Tribolium castaneum: one gene and its partners. The protein of the gene in region 4 purifies or fractionates together with the protein of the main gene of each other region. This does not show direct contact. Links are inferred from orthologs where the notes say so. Each region holds a gene or a part of one and is shown on either strand. Other genes may lie near its edges. The genes, in order: exosome complex component MTR3, Rrp4, Csl4, Mpp6, Rrp45 and exosome complex component RRP43.

Region 1 (2,771 bases), on a different chromosome or scaffold from region 4:
TTTGCATCTTCAACCGTATTCCCAGCATTTTGATAAATATGGGACAGTGCGCAAAGAATTAACGCTCAATTTACGTTCCATTTTATATTTTTGCGAATGCTGCGAATATGGTTGAAGATACAAAAAATTGTAAAGAAGTAATTTTTTTTCAAAAAGTCTAGGACATCATATTTCTATACTTTCAACGGTTTAATTTCTGAATTTGACCACCACGGAGACCAAGAAAAAAATTAAAAAGGTATTATTTTTTATTCGTTTATTGTTTGAGCAAAATCTTAAATTCTTCCAATACTACTTTGAAGTGTATGTCAAGAAGTACTTCTCAGTATAAATTATATCGTGTTGAAAGTGTTTAAAAAAGACTGAATTACTAAAGTCTGTATTATTGGTTGCATAACATCCCAAAGTTCTCATACTTCGCGAATTTTTTTTTGTTTTTTTAACTCCATATTTGTAATAAAAATTCAACTTTAGTGCCTTACTTGACAGTGAAAAAAATATTTAAATAAAATATAATTTATTTCTTTAATCTTCAACAATTCTTACACTCTTAATAACATGTTTCACAAGACATTTCTTAACTAAAGTAACGATGTCCTTAGCAGCATTAGTAAGCATCTCAATGCCTGAACTCAAGCAAGCGTACGACAAATATCCACTCTGATAAAATTGTGAAATTTGCTCATGTGTCGCTAAAACCGACAGCACAACAATCCCGTGATTGTTTTCCTCTTCTTTAAACAGAGGAACTTGACATAAACGTTCTTCTTCTAAAGTTGGATCGACCAAAAGATGATTCCCTTGCACAGCTAAAGTCACTGACGTTATTAAATCATACATTGGAATCCCAGCATGTGCTAAGGCGACCCCAGCTGCCGTGATAGCCGCACTTAGAGCAGCCCCATCATTGTGCAGCACCATTGCGTAAATATCGACTTGAAAATTCGGAAACTCGTGCCTGAATACTGCCGATTCCAACGCTTGTTTCATAATAGCACTGAACTGTTGTTCCTCAGCGTCTTGCTGGTGCAACCTACGTTTGTGGCAGCTGAAGGGTGCAAATTTAAACTCGCAGTAGATTTCGCCCTTGGAACTGTAGTCAGTTTTGTTGGGTATCTCGCGGGGGTCGAATACAGACACGATTACTTTGGTTTGGTCTAATTCAATGTACGCTGAGCCTTTGGCCTGGCTAACAACCCCAGTTTTCAAGACTAGAAAATTAAAAATTAGATCAAGGAACACGCAAGGGCCTAAAGACAAATTACATATTTTTCGATGTTCGGTTGATGTCCTGCCATCGGCTCGTGTCCCATTCGGCTGCACTATTTCACTGAATTGGGTTTTCAACGATTTTGTATTTAATTTGTCGAATAGTTGGTACGGAATTGAAATTTCCGGACCGTTGATTCTTTTGTGATCCACGGGCATAGTGTATTTTGCAAATTATATTTTAAATCTCTCAGTTCAAGGTTATGTTAGAAAAAAGTAAGGTTATATAGCTAATTGTCAACCATTCCAAGTTCAAGGTTTACAAGTCTCACAAAGTCGAATAATAGAAAACACAATTAATTTAATTCTTTTTCATAAAAACTACGTTAGGCGCGTATTAATTTGTGCCGTTGTACAGCAACATATAGTTAGAGTAAATGTTAGACTTATTTATTCGCATTTTTGGATTTATGTTTTCTGGTGGTTCGCTTTCAAGGGGATTGTCAACAAAACGTCAAATTTGGCGCAACTTTGTGTAAACTTGTTGCTGTTGTTCTTTTTGATTGTTTACTGTTAATTAATTAATCAAGGTGAGAAATGTTACTACCTATTGATAATACGTTTATAAATAAAGATGTTTTATGAACTTATTCTTTTCAGATGTCAGATAACGAAGACGTAGGAGACGAATCTGCAAGTTCTAACACGTTTTACAAACCATCTTTCGTCCTCATTGCAATCGATACCGACCCTTCGATGTTTGTTAAAAACGAAAGCGATGGCAATACCCCGTTTAAGGATTGCATTTCTGCCTGTTATAATCTGGCAAATTCGCTAATATTTGTCCAAAATAAGCGAAGCTGGAGCCCTTTTGGTGTGGTATTGGCACGTGAAGATGCTTCAGCGTCGCTTGTCAATTTCAACGATAACATCTTACAATCAATAAAATTGCTTAAAGAAAAGAATGAATTGTCGCAGGAAAAATTGTTGGATATGTATGAAAGAAAAAGCGGCTTAAATTTGAGTTCATTTTTCCTCTTTTGCAAAAAAAAGTTCAAGGAAGTCAATTCGGTGTTCTACAAAAGAACGATCATTTTCATAACCAACGACGATAACCCCGTTCGTGGTGACAAGAACCAAAGATTTGCTGCACTTAACGAAGCAAAAAATTTCGAGTCTAATGATATCACTTTCGAGTTGGTGACCATGAAGCCCAACTTCGATTATAAAATTTTCTACAATGAGTTATTTTCAATCATTAAGAGCCCTCCCGTTGAGACAGTTGTGGAAGATGAAGATGGTTTATTTGAGAAACTTTCTTCCTCAGTTGTCAGGAGATTTTATCAAAGGAGGTTGCTGTTTTTCCCTTTTGCGAATGACCAAACACGGTTTCTTAAAATCAGGCAGAAGTCGTTTGTCCAAGAGGAACGACTTTACAACAACGCTTCCGTTTCCGAAAGTGGAAAACTTTTGAAAAAGGTTTCAAAAACAGTAAATGACTCCATTGAAACCTACAAGCTTGACTATGAGTTAGGCTCACTCGAGTTCAGTGTTAGTGAACG
Region 2 (2,961 bases), on a different chromosome or scaffold from region 4:
TTTGATGCGGTTTATAAAAACCAAAAACAGTCAATTTGCGTAAAATCCTCAAAGTCAATAGTGCTTTTTCCAAATTTGTAAGAACTAGTTGCGAAGCTGCGCCTTTCATTACATCATTCATAAATTGTTCGGTGAAATTATTCCATAAATTCAACACAAACGAATAAATATTACTGGAAAACTCTTGGAAAAAACGGCGATCGCCTGTTAACCGTTTCGAAGCAATGGCTTTAACTACATGATGAAGAGTTAAAAATCCTCGATGTTGGACTAGAGAATCAGGACTTTCAATTACTTGTAGTAAAGTCGGAAATAATTCGGGCCACTCTTTCGGACAATCAATTCGTGCAATTTTCGAAATTAAAACCGCTCTTTGTACCGCAATCTGACTAACGGGTTCGTTAAAACTTAAAATTAAACCGTGTTTAATGTTTTGTTTTTCTGCCTCTAAAATAGCGCTAGAAATGGACATTAACTTTAGTTAGGTACATTACAACTTGCGTGACTTACTTTGGTGCGTTTTTTCTCCAATATCGTTCAATACCATTTTTTATATACAAAACTGCAATCCACCGTACGTTTATATCAAGCGAGTGGTTAGATAAAACATTCTGAAGAATGGTGTATTATTTAATTGTGTTTTTTGCCCAATACGTACAAATAAAACTGTGTAAAATCCAGGTTGAGTTTCCCATTCCCGTAATTTGGCTTCAGCCGGTTTTAACACTTCTGGATTTTGACTCGAGGCTCTTTGCAGAACTTCAATTACGATGTCTTGTGTTGATCCCGTATTCATTGTGAATTATAATCATTTCCCCCTTGAGAACCACAATTTATTATAATACACAACAATATACGAATTATTTTCAATAAATTTTAACTTGTGTGTAAGACAAATCGCAAAAGTGAGGTTAGAATAATTTAATTTTGATTTCCTAATACGCCTTACATTATGGTAATAACAAATTTAAAATTTTTTCATTTCAATGTGGAAAAGAAAATTTTGCCTCACCTGACCGGTATTATACAATTATTTTTTCTTAAATAAAATTATCAATTGTCAAAACACATATGACATGTTTCAAATGACATGCACGACTACCACAACAGTCATTAAAAATACCAAAAAACAAAAATTTCCTTTTAATAATTAAATTACACATAAAACCGACAAAATAGAAAATTAAAAACAAGTTTCAATAATAATTCAGATTGATAACAGAGAAGTCACAATTTTATATAGATTGCGTACTTGCGTATTGTTGCTTGCCTAACCCAGTAATTGTTGTTTCTAATCTCAAATGCGGTTCGAGTGTTTTGCAAGAACATGCCGCAAAAAATTCACATACGCCTTGCCGCTCATCGCATCAACCCCTCAATTGCTGTTAACCGTCGAGTTCCAAAGATATTTACTCCGGGACAAGTGATTACGGAGCAAAATGAATTTATGAGGTTAGGTTTGTCTCGTGTTTTTTTTTGAAATTTTGCGATTTTTCTAAATAGAGGGCATGGTACGTACGAAGAAGAGGGTTTTTTAAAATCATCAGTTGCTGGAGTTAAGGAACAAGTAAATAATTTGATTTCGATTCGTCCGTTAAAAAGTCGATATAATGGTGAAGTGGGTGATGTGGTGGTTGGACGAGTCACAGAAGTCCAACAAAAACGCTGGAAAGTTGATACGAATTCGCGTCTGGATTCGGTCTTGTTGTTGTCTTCCGTTAATTTACCAGGAGGGGAACTGGTACATAAAAGATTTTTTTGGTCGTTAATTTTGCAAGTAAGTTGGCAATATTAAATTTCAGCGGCGTAGATCAGCAGAAGACGAGCATATGATGAGACAATATCTTCAAGAGGGCGATCTTATAAGTGCCGAAGTACAGAGCGTTTATTCAGATGGTTCTTTATCTTTACATACTAGAAGTTTGAAATATGGAAAAGTTTGTCTCGTGTTTTTCGTTACGTTTTGATTATACGTTCATTTTTGATTGTAGCTTTCTCAAGGTATTTTAGTTAAAGTCTTTCCCTCGCTCATTAAAAGGAGCAAAACACATTTTCACAATTTCTATGTTGGGGCTAGTATTATTTTGGGCAATAATGGGTTTATTTGGATTTATCCAACTGTTTCAAATGCTGAGGATAACGCTGGTGGCTTTGTGCAAAATTTGGAACAAGTTGTGTCTCACAATAGTTTTGTTGTTTTTTTTTGCTACTGTGGTGTTTTTAGGTCGTTTCAAGGCCAGAAAGAGAAACAATTGGACGTCTTCGAAACTGTATTTTGGCGCTTATTCAAAGTAAAATGATGCTGTACGATACTAGCATTTTGTATGCTTTTGAAGAATCACAGAAATATTCAGTGGCTGAATTATTGATTCCTGAAGCTATGGTCGATGTAGCAATTTTGACTCAGGATAGGTTAAGCATGTTGGAAAATTCATAATAAATAGTTTTTTCTTATAAAAAATGTCTATTATTCGACTTGAGAACGTGTATAAAATAATCGATATAAATAATGTTAGCCTAGTCGAGATATATACAAAAAAGTAAATAAATAAAATAAATAAGTACACGAATTAGACTGTTTACCGTTACAAAATTTGCTCTAGGAACGAGAGTCAGTGCAAATTAGTTTTAATAAGAGATCAAGAAAGTATAACTTTTGCAACGGTAAAATAAAGCTTCCATCACCAAGGCCGCCACCTTCCCGAAAAAAAATCCTTAAAAAATACATATTGCATAATGTAGAGTCGGGGAATTCCCTATTTGATATCTCATCTCGAGTTAACGATATCACAGAACTAACAATGCTGCTCGTCAACTCAACCGAAAGATCAAACTTGATTAAAGCACCAAAGTGTCTCTAAATCTTCAAGCGATGTGTTTCCCGGGATTTAACCACTTCTTCATGTAGTAACAGAACAGCGTACTGATGTAAAGTAGAACTAATAAGGCACAAGTCACACC
Region 3 (2,791 bases), on a different chromosome or scaffold from region 4:
GACTATTGAAAATTACAATTTCAACCAGACCGTCGCTTAGACTACATCAAGTTGCATCTTTTCTCTCATAGAACAAAATTGCGCCCAACGCTTAGTTTCCGAGATATTTAAAGAATTAGGTTCAAATTCAAATTTTCGCGCCTGCGTTTATTTTTAAGTTTTTTGAGCACGTTTTTCAGGAAGCAGCGTGATTTTTTAAGTTTTTCAATTTTTATCGAATTACGGCTAAACTATTCGAAAAAGTGGAACTATTTTGATCCTTACCTATGCAAAATGATCCGGGAAATCGATTGACATCGAGAAAATCGCCAAATTCCCGATAGTTTTTTAGTTATGATTTTTTTAATGTTTCCAATTTTTGCTTTTGCTTGCAATTTTCTCGAAAACTATTAGTCGGAGAACAATAATCATTTTTGAAAAAAATAGATAATCCAAAGAGCTTTCCAACGATTATAAACTTTATAGGGTTATCTCTAATAGTTCAATTAACTTTTTTGCACTTTTAAGGGACGCAAAAGGGTTTATTAAAATAAACAAAAATACAATTTATTGAACATTATTTCACATCATTTTGCACGCTTTCTGGCACAACTCTTGCAACCTTCCTGGCCTCCTTCACAAACGTCTTGGAGCACTGCATCTCCGTCCAGCTCACAGGCACCATAAGCCCCCCATGTTCCGAGTGCGCCGTCACGACCCCCAGCTCATTCTCAGCCGTGGACAACTGATAAGTGTGAGCTTCCGTGATCGGCAAAACCCTCGCCAGAATCACGTCCCCGGGCCTGAAACTCTTGTAAATCTCCACGCGGTCCTTCTCCGTCGCTCGCACGTCCTCCTTCCGCAAAATCCCGCGATACTGCCGCCCCAAAACCTTATCCCCGACACACTTAATGTAGCATTTGCAAAACTGCTGCGTGATTGTGTGAATTTGCGCTGTGACGATGTCGCCCTGTGACGGCACGAGCGTTTCCTGCCCGGAACTGCGCACTTCAATGATCTGGACGTTGTCTTTGGGGACAATGTCCACAACACCGGCAAGGGTGGCGTAGATGTAGCCCCCACGCTCGTACGTGCCTTGACCGGACACGTGCGAGGGGTCCGACAGGCACAGCCGCTGCCCCGGGAGGCACACAAGGGGCGATGACATGCCCAAAATCAACAAAAAACGAAATTTTTGATTTTTTTTGAGGTTAAGTCAAATGTCAATTGACATGAAGAAATTTCAAAAACTGCGTGTTCCTTTTACTGTCAATATTATTATCACGGCAGACGACGTTCAAAGCCAATCAAAGGCACACAAGGAGCTATAACATGCGAAAAATCAGCACAAAAACGAAATTTTTGATTTTTTTGAGGTTACGTCAAGTGTCACTGTCAATTGTCAAAAAACGAATTTGCAAAATTTTACTTTCTCATTCATTAATTAACATTAATTACCAATTACGACCATTAATTTGGCTACAGAATTAAATAAACTGGTTTATGTTATGTTTATTTAACTACTCATTACACCCTGTATATACATACAACGTAGAGATAAACCTAAAAAAATAATGCCTTACTTATTAGAATGATTTTTTGCCACCTAACCCCACTTTTTTGACAGCTGTCACCCCTCGTGTTTTGTTTTTTTTTGGGGGCTTTAGCCTGATAATGGGTGATTCCGTGGCCGAATTGTTGCAGTTTGTGCATCTGGGGGCCCGTTTGGACCTCAAATCGGTGGCTTTGGGGCACATTTTGGGTAATAGGGTTCGAGGTTAGACTTGTTTTTTGTAATTTTTTTGTAGGTTTGACGGGGAATGCGGACGGAATTGCCACATTAATCAACACACCGTCACTTCTGGTCTCCTTAATCACACTTTTGAGTGATAATAACGCCACAATTGTCAAAGACTCGGCACTTTGCCTTGTTAATGTCTCTGCTGATCACAAGGGGGCCCTGGCATTGCTTGATTTGGACACGAGTGTGGGGTGCCCCCCTTTACAGAGCCCCCCGAGTGACATTACTTCGACTGTTGTTAAATTCGTGACGGACCCCATGAGTAAAATCGCCGATTTTTCCTGCATGATTTTATCGAACTTATCTCGGGCCAATCACGATAAAGTGATTGATGCGCTTGAGAAAAGCGCAAGTTTGGACGATTTGATTGACATTTTCACGAAAAAACAGTACAATAAAGCGGGGGCTAACCTCCACTACTTGAGCCCCCTTTTTTCGAACTTGTCGCAAAGTGGGCGCGTCCGGAGACGCTTCCTGGACCGGATCCACAAACTCGTGCCTTTCATTGAATTCGAGGAGTCGGCCGTGAGGCGCGGGGGCGTCGTGGGGGCCCTGCGTAACTGCACATTTGACCCCGAGTGTCATGAGCTGCTCTTGGGCCCCCATGTCGATATCTTGCCCCGGCTGCTCCGCCCCCTGGCCGGAAACGAGGAATTTGACGACGAAGACAACGACAAGCTCCCCCTTGAACTGCAATATCTCCCGGAGGAGAAACAGCGTGAAGAAGATCCAGATATCAGGTGCATGTTACTGGAGGCTTTGACCCAGTTATGTGCCAAGAGAAAAAATCGAGAATTTATCAGAGAGAGAAACACTTATGTGATTTTGCGCGAGTTGCACAAGTGGGAAAAGGACAGAAAGGTGCTTTTAGCGTGTGAAAATTTGGTCGATATTTTGATACGCACCGAGGAGGAAATTGGAGAAGATGATTTGAAGACACTTAAAGTGCCCCAAAGTTTAAGCGAAGACTTCAATAAAGCGGATGAGCAGTTTTTAAAAGATGAATAAATT
Region 4 (2,179 bases):
ATTAAAATTAGAATCTTATATAACCTCTCAGCGATATTTCAAACTACGTCAGTCAGTGTTTATGTACTGATTTCGCGGCATAAAAATCTCAAATGCGAACTCGGAAAATGTGGACTTTATATTTAAATTTGTTTACTATTGGGGAAAAAATTGATTATTGGACTCACCAATTCAACACGAGCACAGATTTGATAAGAAAGGACGACAGATCTGCGCAAGCGCTAAAGCGGGAAGTTTGAAAGCTTGTGCAAATTTTGGCACGTGCTTGCTTTGTCTATGCATTTTTTTAATGAATCAGAAACAGATAACCAAGTAAACACAAAATTATCGGCTGATAACGTTGTTATGAGTCGCAATTTACGCATAATTACGCTCAAAACCAGCCGTTAAAAGGGTGATTTGCGAGCTAAAAATACAAAATTGGCACAAATAAGATATCAGGCTTCAATTTATTCAAAAAAAAGTTTATACAATGTAATCAAAATACGAAACTAGGTTAACTAGAAGTCTTCAGATGGCTTTATAAACTTCCGCTTATTTCTGTTTTTCTTCCCGCTGAATTTATTTGCCATTGTGTTAACTAGAGTGGAGTATTCCTGAGCCATTTGGGCGTCACTAACGTCGGTTTCTTTGCGTTTTTCCACCTCTTGTTTCTTCCTAGTGTAATCGTTAGACATCAGTTTCTCTATTTCCGGATTCATGCCACCAAATGATAAGCGCCCTTCGATTAAATTTCGGCAGTTAAAGATACTCGTTTCTGTGAATACAATGGTCCCGCTTTTCTTCATTTCGTCGGTGATTTCATTGGAATACATGGCTTTGCCCTCGGCATCTTCCTGCTCCTTGAGCACCCTTTCCTTCGTACGTTTCATAAACTTCATGTCCAGGATGGACTTGGACAATTGAACTGGTTTAGGCCCTTGCATACTTTTGGCTCAGTGAAAAACAATGTATAAAACACTTTTCAAAAAAATATAATTTGTTAGGTTAGAAGAACTGTCAGTTGTCACTTTGACGTGCCATTTTTATCATTGAAAGGTTATGATTTGTGTTTATTAAACAAATAAAATGAATAGAACAATTATGTCCGAGTCTTTCGCGGTGGGTATCGGGCCTGCGGCCCCGCGGGGCCGCTCGGCGGCCTCCGTTGCCACCACAGGTATTTCCCCATCGTTCTTTCCCCCTTTTTCACCGGCTTGTTCCAGTGGGGTCCGACCACGTCTTCGAAGTCCCCACAAAACTGATCAAAACACCGGCTGATATGAAAATCTGGGAGAAATCCGAGGCCTATTTTGTACAATTCCCTCTAGGCGTGACCTCATCTAACACTCTCATTCCATAGGAATTTTTGGGGTTCATTCTGGCCATAAACGAGGCAGTTAAAGGCAAAAGCAATTCGCGCGGGAGCGAAAACGCCTCCGAGGAAGTCCAGAAAGTGATCGAGTTGTTGAACAAGCTTGACACGAAAATCGACGAAACGCCCGCTGTACAACAGCCCCAAAGGTTCGGAAACGTGGCGTTCAGGACCTGGTACCAGAAACTGCGAGATGTGGGTCCACAAATTCGCGTTTGTTTCTATTCTGACGGGCGTTTTCCAGGAGTCGCTTGTCTTGCTCCAGGATGTGCTCCCGACTGAATTAAATGCCGCCGTCCCCGAGATCGTTTCATATTTGGTGGAATCGTTCGGGAATTCCACACGGATTGACTACGGGACGGGGCACGAAATTTCATTCATTATGTTCCTGTGCTGTTTGTATAAAATCGGGTTTTTGAAACAACATGATAAGACAGCCACTGGCTGTGCCATTTTTACGCGGTATTTGGACTTGGCGCGGAAATTACAAAAGACCTACCGGATGGAGCCCGCCGGAAGTCACGGCGTTTGGAGTCTGGACGACTACCAGTTTGTGCCGTTTATTTGGGGCAGCTCGCAGCTGTTTGGTAAGTAAACAAAAAAACTCTCGGTTTACAAAACGCTTCGGAAAAATTTGGGCCAAATTTAAGTTAAAAAAATTAAGATTAACGCAATTTCCATCCAAGTTTTTTCCACTATGTTTGTTTAGCCCATCCGATCATTGAACCGTCGGGTTTTTTGGTGCCGCAAATTTTAAACCAGTATGGAGAGGACTTCATGTTCCTCACTTGCATCCAGTACATAAACTCAGTAAAAAGCGGCCCT
Region 5 (3,420 bases), on a different chromosome or scaffold from region 4:
CAAGCGCATCCAGAAGACAGTGACGCAAAGGAGGTTAAATTTGTGTATTGATAATTCAGTAAGTCGAACGCAAAGTTCAATCGGAAAATTATTGTTGTTTTGCCAGGCGAAGCATATTTACATCTGCGACTTTCACAAGATGATCATCCAGTGTGCAAGGACCAAGAGGAGGAGGAAGGATTCGGAGGATGACAGCAATGAGACGGACACTGACGTGCCAGAAGTCGACCTGTTTCAGCTAGGAGTCAACACTTTGAGGAGGTACAAAAGGCACTACAAAGTTTCCGCAAGACCTGGACTGAACAAGGCACAACTGGCAGATGTGAGTCGGTTAAAATCCACGTTTTGTATTAATTATTACATTCACAGACTCTAATGAAACACTTTAAGTCGATCCAAGTCAAGGAGAAGGAAGTTGTCACATTTTTTATTTATACAGTCAAAACAAACAGCAATAAGCTTGACCAAAAGAACGGTGTGAACAATGACGCCACTTGAAGTTAGGTCCTTAGAAGTTTTATTAAATTATTACACTTTAAGAAAAAAATGCATTTAATAAAAAACCACAAGTTATTTTTTATTTTTGACAGGCCCTAGTATCACCACATCGTCTTCCTCACTGTCTGTTAGGAGTTCGATTTGAACTGAAAAAAAAACATGATTTTAGTTTCAATTAAGTTAAGTAATACCTTTAGGTTTTTCGACTATTATTAAGTCATCGTCACTGTTATTATCAACGTCCCAGACTTCTTTCTTGTTTTCGGTCTGAGGCACATGTTCCACTGACCCTTTGTCAATAACGACCGTATTCTGGGATTGTGGCTGTGCTTTTTTATGTTTTTTATTTCTTTTCTTTTTATTCGTATGCCATGTATCAAGGCTCTGGCCAAAGACTAGAGTTGTTTTGAAATTATCTTCAGTATGAAAGCCTACCGAAGCCTTCTCTTGCCTGAAATTTAATTTATAACTCGGCAACATGTTGTTGGTTTTACCTTTGTTCAGTATCGGCCTTAACTGATTTTTTTATTTCTTCTATCACAACAGTAGCTCGAGATGTGGCTTTAGAAACTGTACTCAGGATAATACTTGGTGCAAGTTCAGCTTTTCCCCCTAAATGTAGGGCACACAGTTCTTTAAAGCCGTTGAGGCCTATTGTTAGCATTGCATCTGCGGAACCTTCCTCAAGTAGTGACGGGTCCGCAAGAATATACTCCCTAAGAGAAAAAAACTGCAAGTCCTTTTAATAAAATGCTCATTTTTTACGGATAAACGCTGCGAATACACGCAAAAAAATGTTGTAGAGAATTAAATTTCCTACAAGCAAGTCCGCAAATTGAAAATTCTAAGTGATAATTCGTGCAGCTAAAGTATTTTTTGTGGATAACATGATAATACAAGCTTTCAATTAAATTTTCAAAAGGTGTTTTACCCTCCATTAAAAATAGCGTATGTTATGCAGACTGGATAGTGGTGTATAACCGTAGGAATGGGGTCCCTTTGTTGGTAACTGTGAATGATGAATTCTTCGCCATCACAAGTGACATCGGGGCGCCTAAAATGAGTCAAAGAAGCCAACATGGCGATCGAGGCGCAGTCCAGAATATTCCCCTCATGGTTTAAAACATTAATATCCACCTTCAAAGCCCATACTTTTTCGTTGGTTTTAATGCACAATGATTCCAAATCAACAGCTTTAGAATCTTTAACACATTTTTCCAAAAGTCGGTTCAACTGCACTGACAATTCCGACTGTCTGCCCGCTTCGAAATGAGGGGCTGCCAGTGGGTTCAACTCGATATTTATGTTTAGAATTCCTTCACTAGGTCGTGAAGACTTGGGTTGTTGGATTTCGCATGATGTTTGAGCTAAAACTCTATTCCTTTACTGAAGTCAGTGTTTCATAAGTGAAGGTTACTTTGTGTTGCCGAGAGAAACGTAACAGGAACCCCACTGTTTGCCAAATTTCAGCTCTAGTGGCCTGAACTCGTCAAAACTTCGACCATCTAACCTCTAAATGGAAGATGGAATTAAATTGTAAATTAAATGTGCCGCTTTTACCCTCCACTCCGACAAGCATTTCATCAAAAACTTTCGTTCACAGTTTGTAATAAGTGTTTCCCGTACTTTCGACATTTTTATTTTCAAATTTCAAAATATTTTTTGTAACAAAGAAGTGTGGTTAGAAAAAATACATCGGCAATACAGGAATCTATATTTTAAACAATACACTTGGTGGCTTTTTACACATTTTTGCACAACAAATGGACCGGTGTTTACCACAAAATGCCTGTTATATTATCAATTTGATAATACAAACCAAATTTAATAAATAATTTACGATTTATAAAATAGGATAGAGGTCGCTAGAAAAAGACTCAAGCGGAAATTGCGTCCGCCATTTTCTTCCTCTTTAAAACGTGTTCTGTAAGGCAGGTAGGTTAAGCACAAAAATCATGTTTATTTCATAATTTTGATAAAATTGAACTACAAATAAACGTTACAGTGTTGAGATATTGGTCTTATAATAACTTGTGCCCTTTTTGCAGGTCTGAAAAATGACGAACTCGAAAGGTTATCGTAGGGGAACCCGGGACCTGTTCTCTCGGAAGTTCCGCAAGCATGGGGTTATCCCCCTGTCGACGTACATGAAAGTGTACAAAGTCGGCGATATCGTGGATATTAAGGGCAATGGAGCCGTTCAGAAGGGCATGCCCTACAAGGTGTACCATGGGAAAACTGGCCGTGTGTTCAATGTGACGGCTCACGCTTTGGGTGTGATTGTTAACAAGCGTGTTGGGGGCCGTATTATCCCCAAACGTATCAATATCCGTATTGAGCACGTGAATCACTCCAAGTGCAGGCAAGACTTCTTGACCAGAGTGAAACAAAACGAAAAATTGCGAAAAGAAGCTAAGGAGAAGAACATTCGAGTGAATTTGAAGAGACAGCCAGCACAGCCAAGGCCTGCACACATCGTCAGTGGGAAAGTACCAGCCGTTCAATTGGCTCCTATCCCATATGAATTTATTGCTTAATTTGTACGCCTTTTGTGTAATAAAGACATAAAACAAATTTGGGTGTTTGAAATGAAACGAGTCAGTGCATTTTTTCAAATATATTTATATCTAACGAATATTTACAGAATAAAAATAAAATCTGCTTAGCAGCATTTATACAGTATGTTCTAGTTTCTCATATAATATTTAAAAGTTGTATAGTATTTGTTAACAAAATAAGAAGAGTGAATTTTACTTTTTTACCGTGTAGGGGACATAATACTCGCTAAATTAGATGCACGGTTTGGTTACCACCTAAGAATTATTGCTAATTGGAATAAATATAAGGTTTGTAAAAAACAAATTAAGTAAACAAGTAAAATTCACCATACAGTCAATTATTCCTATGCTGTTCCACCACAAT
Region 6 (2,995 bases), on a different chromosome or scaffold from region 4:
GACGCTTTTGGCACATCTAAAGGCTCTAGAGAAAAGTCCACAAAAGATAGTTTTCAAGTTATAGGTAAAAATCGTAAATTGAAGTGTTCTCATGTTTTTAACATATCACAACGTAGAGTATGGAATATAATATACGAAATTAAAGCCATAATGAAATTTCCCGCCCCGAAAGTATTTCAAAAAAAGTCAAAGTTGTTAATAAAAAGGGCTTCAATCTGTTTTTTTTTTTTTAATTGAGAATAAATGTCAATGGATGTAAAAAAACTTGGAATAATTTTCTCGTCGTTCTTGAAGATACTTTACCTCATGTTCTTTGAGATAAGCAAAAATGCTATCCCTATACTCCTCCATTTCAAAAAAGACATCTCTAGCATTGGTATTTGTGGAAACCGTTTGCTCTTTGAGCTCAATGTTCTCCACATCTGATTTCTCAATGCTCATCGGAATCTCCGATTTTCTCTTAAGTTGAGGCGCAGTAATTTCCTTCAATTTCTCCAAATTCTTTTTCCTTTCAATTTCGGCAAGTTCTGTCTTCGTGATAAACCTGTCCTCGGCCGTCCCTTTATACACATTACTCTTACTGATAAGTTTGAGCCTTTCATCGATTCTCGCTCTGTATTCATCATCCTCATACACAGTAAACGCCTCAAACTGGGCCACCGGAACCACGACATTCTTCTTATTCTCGTTTTTTTGCCCATTTTCCACCCGGTTTCCCAAAACGGTTGGCTTCTTCGTCTGGCAAAAAAGCAAACGTTTTTCCCATCCAAAGTTACCTCCAACTGTTAATTACCTGTTTTCCTTTAAGGGCTGCGTTATTAACTTTATTACTGTCAATCTCGCCCAGAACGCCCCGTTTTTGCTGGGCAGTCGTTCCCGGTTTTCGGCGCAATTCCGGCACCCGGTTTTCCTGGTCCTGGTGAATTCTTATCGATGCCATTCCTCTAACACACGTGCAAGTTTCTAATACCCGAAAAACGAAAAGTTTGCTGAACCGAAGGCCAAACTGAACCCCAACTTAAACACCCAAGCTACCCCTAACCGACAAAACGACTGTTTTTAACGGCCAGATGCAAAGAGCGCAGAGTGCGGGAAACGAACAGCTGAGAGACCGTTGAAATGACAAACGGGACCAATGGGAGCCCAGATTTAAGCAACGTCACACGAGTGGGGATAACATGTTTTGAAGGGTTTAACGGAATTTTGCACTAAATCAAAAATCAATCGACAATACTTGTTCCCAACCAAATGCCCTATTTGCAAGCAAATGTCTTCATTACAAAAATTGCATTATTCAACCGAATTTACTCGTTTCAAATCAAACGTTTCCCCCACCGTTGTCGGCAACCAATCAAAACTAACGTCATTAATAATGTCAATTGTCAAAAACGAAAAACGTGGTTATAAACAAATTCAATAATGTCAGAACAATACAAGTAATAATTGTAGTACTGTGAATAAATAACAAGGTGATTATCCTATGTTTTAGGATTTTGCACCCCGTCAAGTACTTCCGCGACCACTTGGCCCACAAAATCCGACCTGATGGGCGCGAATTTGGGGAATATCGCCCCATCGTGGTCAATTTGGGCTCAATTTCGACAGCCGATGGGTCTGCGATTGCCAAAGTTGGTCGCACGACGGTAGTTTGCGGCATTAAAGCGGTGAGTGTAATTGGAGGCATTCAATTTGCTAAACCAAACCTTAGGAGTTGTGTCAGCCCAAGGCTGAGGCTGCAAACGAGGGGTTTTTGATCCCCAATGTGGAATTACCACCGTTGTGTTCGTCAAAATTTCGGCCAGGACCCCCAACTGAACAAGCCCAAGTAGCGACCCAGTTAGTTGCCGATATTTTAAAAAACTCTGATTGTTTAGACTTAAAAACGTTATGTATATTTCCAGACAAATTAGCTTGGTGTTTATATGCTGATTTAATTTGTTTGGATTTGGATGGGGCGTTGATAGACGCGTGTGTTGTTGCGTTAATGGCAGCGCTTAAGTCAGGTAAAGACAATATTGTTTTTTTGTGAAAAATATAATTGCGCTTCAGTTACTTTGCCAGCGGTTCAGTACGATCCAGCCCTTGACAACAAGCAAGTGAATGTGCAAGAGAGGAAAGCTCTTAGTGTTACCAACACTCCAATAGCAACAACGTTTGCAATGTTTGATGAGTAAGCTTATCATTGTTGTTGTAAACTTTTTAATTTTTTGATTGTAGTAAAATTCTCATAGACCCAACAGTGGATGAGGAGGACTTAAGTACGTCTTTGGTGACAATTGTGGTGAAGGAAGAAGAGTTGTGTTTTGTTCACAAGCCAGGTGGCTGTGTTTTTACGGAAGAGCAACTTTTAAAGTGTGTGGAAGAAAGTACAAAACGTGCAACTGTGATTGAGGAAATTATAGAAACAGCTTTTAAAAGTTTATAATAAAAACATTTTTTTTTATAAATGTATATCCTATATTATTTAAATAAAAATTTTAACAGGTTCCACAGTAGGTTGTGTGATCATTTAACCGAATTTAAAATTAAATCACCACACATTTATAAAAAAATCTATTGTCTTTGTTACAGGATTGAAAAAATAAAAATCGGGAAAAATCAACACTTTACATTTTAACGAGTATACATATTGGTATTGCCAAATATTCAACACGTGTCTGAATTTATGTACAAAAAATACGAAACATTGCAAATAATATACATTATTACAAAATACTACAACTCACCACATAATCACATATGATACAAATGTAGAGACTAAGGATGTTAGATATTTTTACAAAGTATTTTACACATTTCGTTCAAAAGGGAAATAAGTCTACTGTATGTACAGTTAAAAGTTTGCGCCTAGGACAGGAATGGTAGTAGAAAAATACCAGGAACAATAAATAATAGGGGTTTTAATAAAAATTTGTATATTTTAACAATGTGTAATTTTACATCGTTGATGTTTTATAAAGTATAACATTTTGTCCTCGTTTATGCCTGATATCTT

What was found.
Region 1: the proteins of Mpp6 (region 4) and exosome complex component MTR3 purify together in Homo sapiens (affinity purification with mass spectrometry; 3 studies listed by BioGRID and IntAct, with this or other methods). This does not show direct contact. The link is inferred for Tribolium castaneum from reciprocal best matches to the Homo sapiens genes MPHOSPH6 and EXOSC6.
Region 2: the proteins of Mpp6 (region 4) and Rrp4 purify together in Homo sapiens (affinity purification with mass spectrometry; 8 studies listed by BioGRID and IntAct, with this or other methods). This does not show direct contact. The link is inferred for Tribolium castaneum from reciprocal best matches to the Homo sapiens genes MPHOSPH6 and EXOSC2.
Region 3: the proteins of Mpp6 (region 4) and Csl4 purify together in Homo sapiens (affinity purification with mass spectrometry; 5 studies listed by BioGRID and IntAct, counting the BioPlex papers as one, with this or other methods). This does not show direct contact. The link is inferred for Tribolium castaneum from reciprocal best matches to the Homo sapiens genes MPHOSPH6 and EXOSC1.
Region 5: the proteins of Mpp6 (region 4) and Rrp45 purify together in Homo sapiens (affinity purification with mass spectrometry; 5 studies listed by BioGRID and IntAct, with this or other methods). This does not show direct contact. The link is inferred for Tribolium castaneum from reciprocal best matches to the Homo sapiens genes MPHOSPH6 and EXOSC9.
Region 6: the proteins of Mpp6 (region 4) and exosome complex component RRP43 purify together in Homo sapiens (affinity purification with mass spectrometry; 4 studies listed by BioGRID and IntAct, counting the BioPlex papers as one, with this or other methods). This does not show direct contact. The link is inferred for Tribolium castaneum from reciprocal best matches to the Homo sapiens genes MPHOSPH6 and EXOSC8.

Annotation. Positions count from the first base shown.
Region 1 is NC_087396.1:13,656,015-13,658,785, forward strand, and holds exosome complex component MTR3, read right to left. Parts: upstream 1,569-2,771; 5' UTR 1,429-1,568; coding exon 1,266-1,428; intron 1,212-1,265; coding exon 526-1,211; 3' UTR 501-525; downstream 1-500. Other genes in the region: X-ray repair cross-complementing protein 6, read left to right, coding at 1,870-2,771. UniProt on the Homo sapiens protein: Non-catalytic component of the RNA exosome complex which has 3'->5' exoribonuclease activity and participates in a multitude of cellular RNA processing and degradation events.
Region 2 is NC_087397.1:170,381-173,341, reverse strand, and holds Rrp4 (exosome complex component RRP4), read left to right. Parts: upstream 1-1,246; 5' UTR 1,247-1,327; coding exon 1,328-1,452; intron 1,453-1,503; coding exon 1,504-1,741; intron 1,742-1,802; coding exon 1,803-1,937; intron 1,938-1,991; coding exon 1,992-2,171; intron 2,172-2,224; coding exon 2,225-2,437; 3' UTR 2,438-2,461; downstream 2,462-2,961. Other genes in the region: Impbeta11 (importin-11), read right to left, coding at 1-458, 511-611, 659-796; uncharacterized protein tyn, read right to left, coding at 2,866-2,961. UniProt on the Homo sapiens protein: Non-catalytic component of the RNA exosome complex which has 3'->5' exoribonuclease activity and participates in a multitude of cellular RNA processing and degradation events.
Region 3 is NC_087401.1:17,299,511-17,302,301, forward strand, and holds Csl4 (exosome complex component CSL4), read right to left. Parts: upstream 1,448-2,791; 5' UTR 1,361-1,447; intron 1,305-1,360; 5' UTR 1,148-1,304; coding exon 557-1,147; 3' UTR 501-556; downstream 1-500. Other genes in the region: protein HGH1 homolog, read left to right, coding at 1,654-1,741, 1,788-2,788. UniProt on the Homo sapiens protein: Non-catalytic component of the RNA exosome complex which has 3'->5' exoribonuclease activity and participates in a multitude of cellular RNA processing and degradation events.
Region 4 is NC_087398.1:4,380,038-4,382,216, reverse strand, and holds Mpp6 (M-phase phosphoprotein 6), read right to left. Parts: upstream 927-2,179; coding exon 501-926; downstream 1-500. Other genes in the region: Ptpa (serine/threonine-protein phosphatase 2A activator), read left to right, coding at 1,069-1,159, 1,206-1,294, 1,343-1,549, 1,599-1,941, 2,064-2,179. UniProt on the Homo sapiens protein: RNA-binding protein that associates with the RNA exosome complex. Involved in the 3'-processing of the 7S pre-RNA to the mature 5.8S rRNA and play a role in recruiting the RNA exosome complex to pre-rRNA; this function may include C1D.
Region 5 is NC_087402.1:3,056,456-3,059,875, forward strand, and holds Rrp45 (uncharacterized protein Rrp45), read right to left. Parts: upstream 2,281-3,420; 5' UTR 2,134-2,280; coding exon 2,059-2,133; intron 2,011-2,058; coding exon 1,916-2,010; intron 1,874-1,915; coding exon 1,430-1,873; intron 1,215-1,429; coding exon 993-1,214; intron 950-992; coding exon 690-949; intron 645-689; coding exon 571-644; 3' UTR 501-570; downstream 1-500. Other genes in the region: histone deacetylase complex subunit SAP30 homolog, read left to right, coding at 1-58, 107-322, 370-498; RpL21 (large ribosomal subunit protein eL21), read left to right, coding at 2,556-3,035. UniProt on the Homo sapiens protein: Non-catalytic component of the RNA exosome complex which has 3'->5' exoribonuclease activity and participates in a multitude of cellular RNA processing and degradation events.
Region 6 is NC_087402.1:7,982,347-7,985,341, forward strand, and holds exosome complex component RRP43, read left to right. Parts: upstream 1-1,291; 5' UTR 1,292-1,419; coding exon 1,420-1,436; intron 1,437-1,489; coding exon 1,490-1,664; intron 1,665-1,708; coding exon 1,709-2,003; intron 2,004-2,049; coding exon 2,050-2,170; intron 2,171-2,217; coding exon 2,218-2,425; 3' UTR 2,426-2,495; downstream 2,496-2,995. Other genes in the region: CycA (G2/mitotic-specific cyclin-A), read right to left, coding at 304-738, 794-940. UniProt on the Homo sapiens protein: Non-catalytic component of the RNA exosome complex which has 3'->5' exoribonuclease activity and participates in a multitude of cellular RNA processing and degradation events.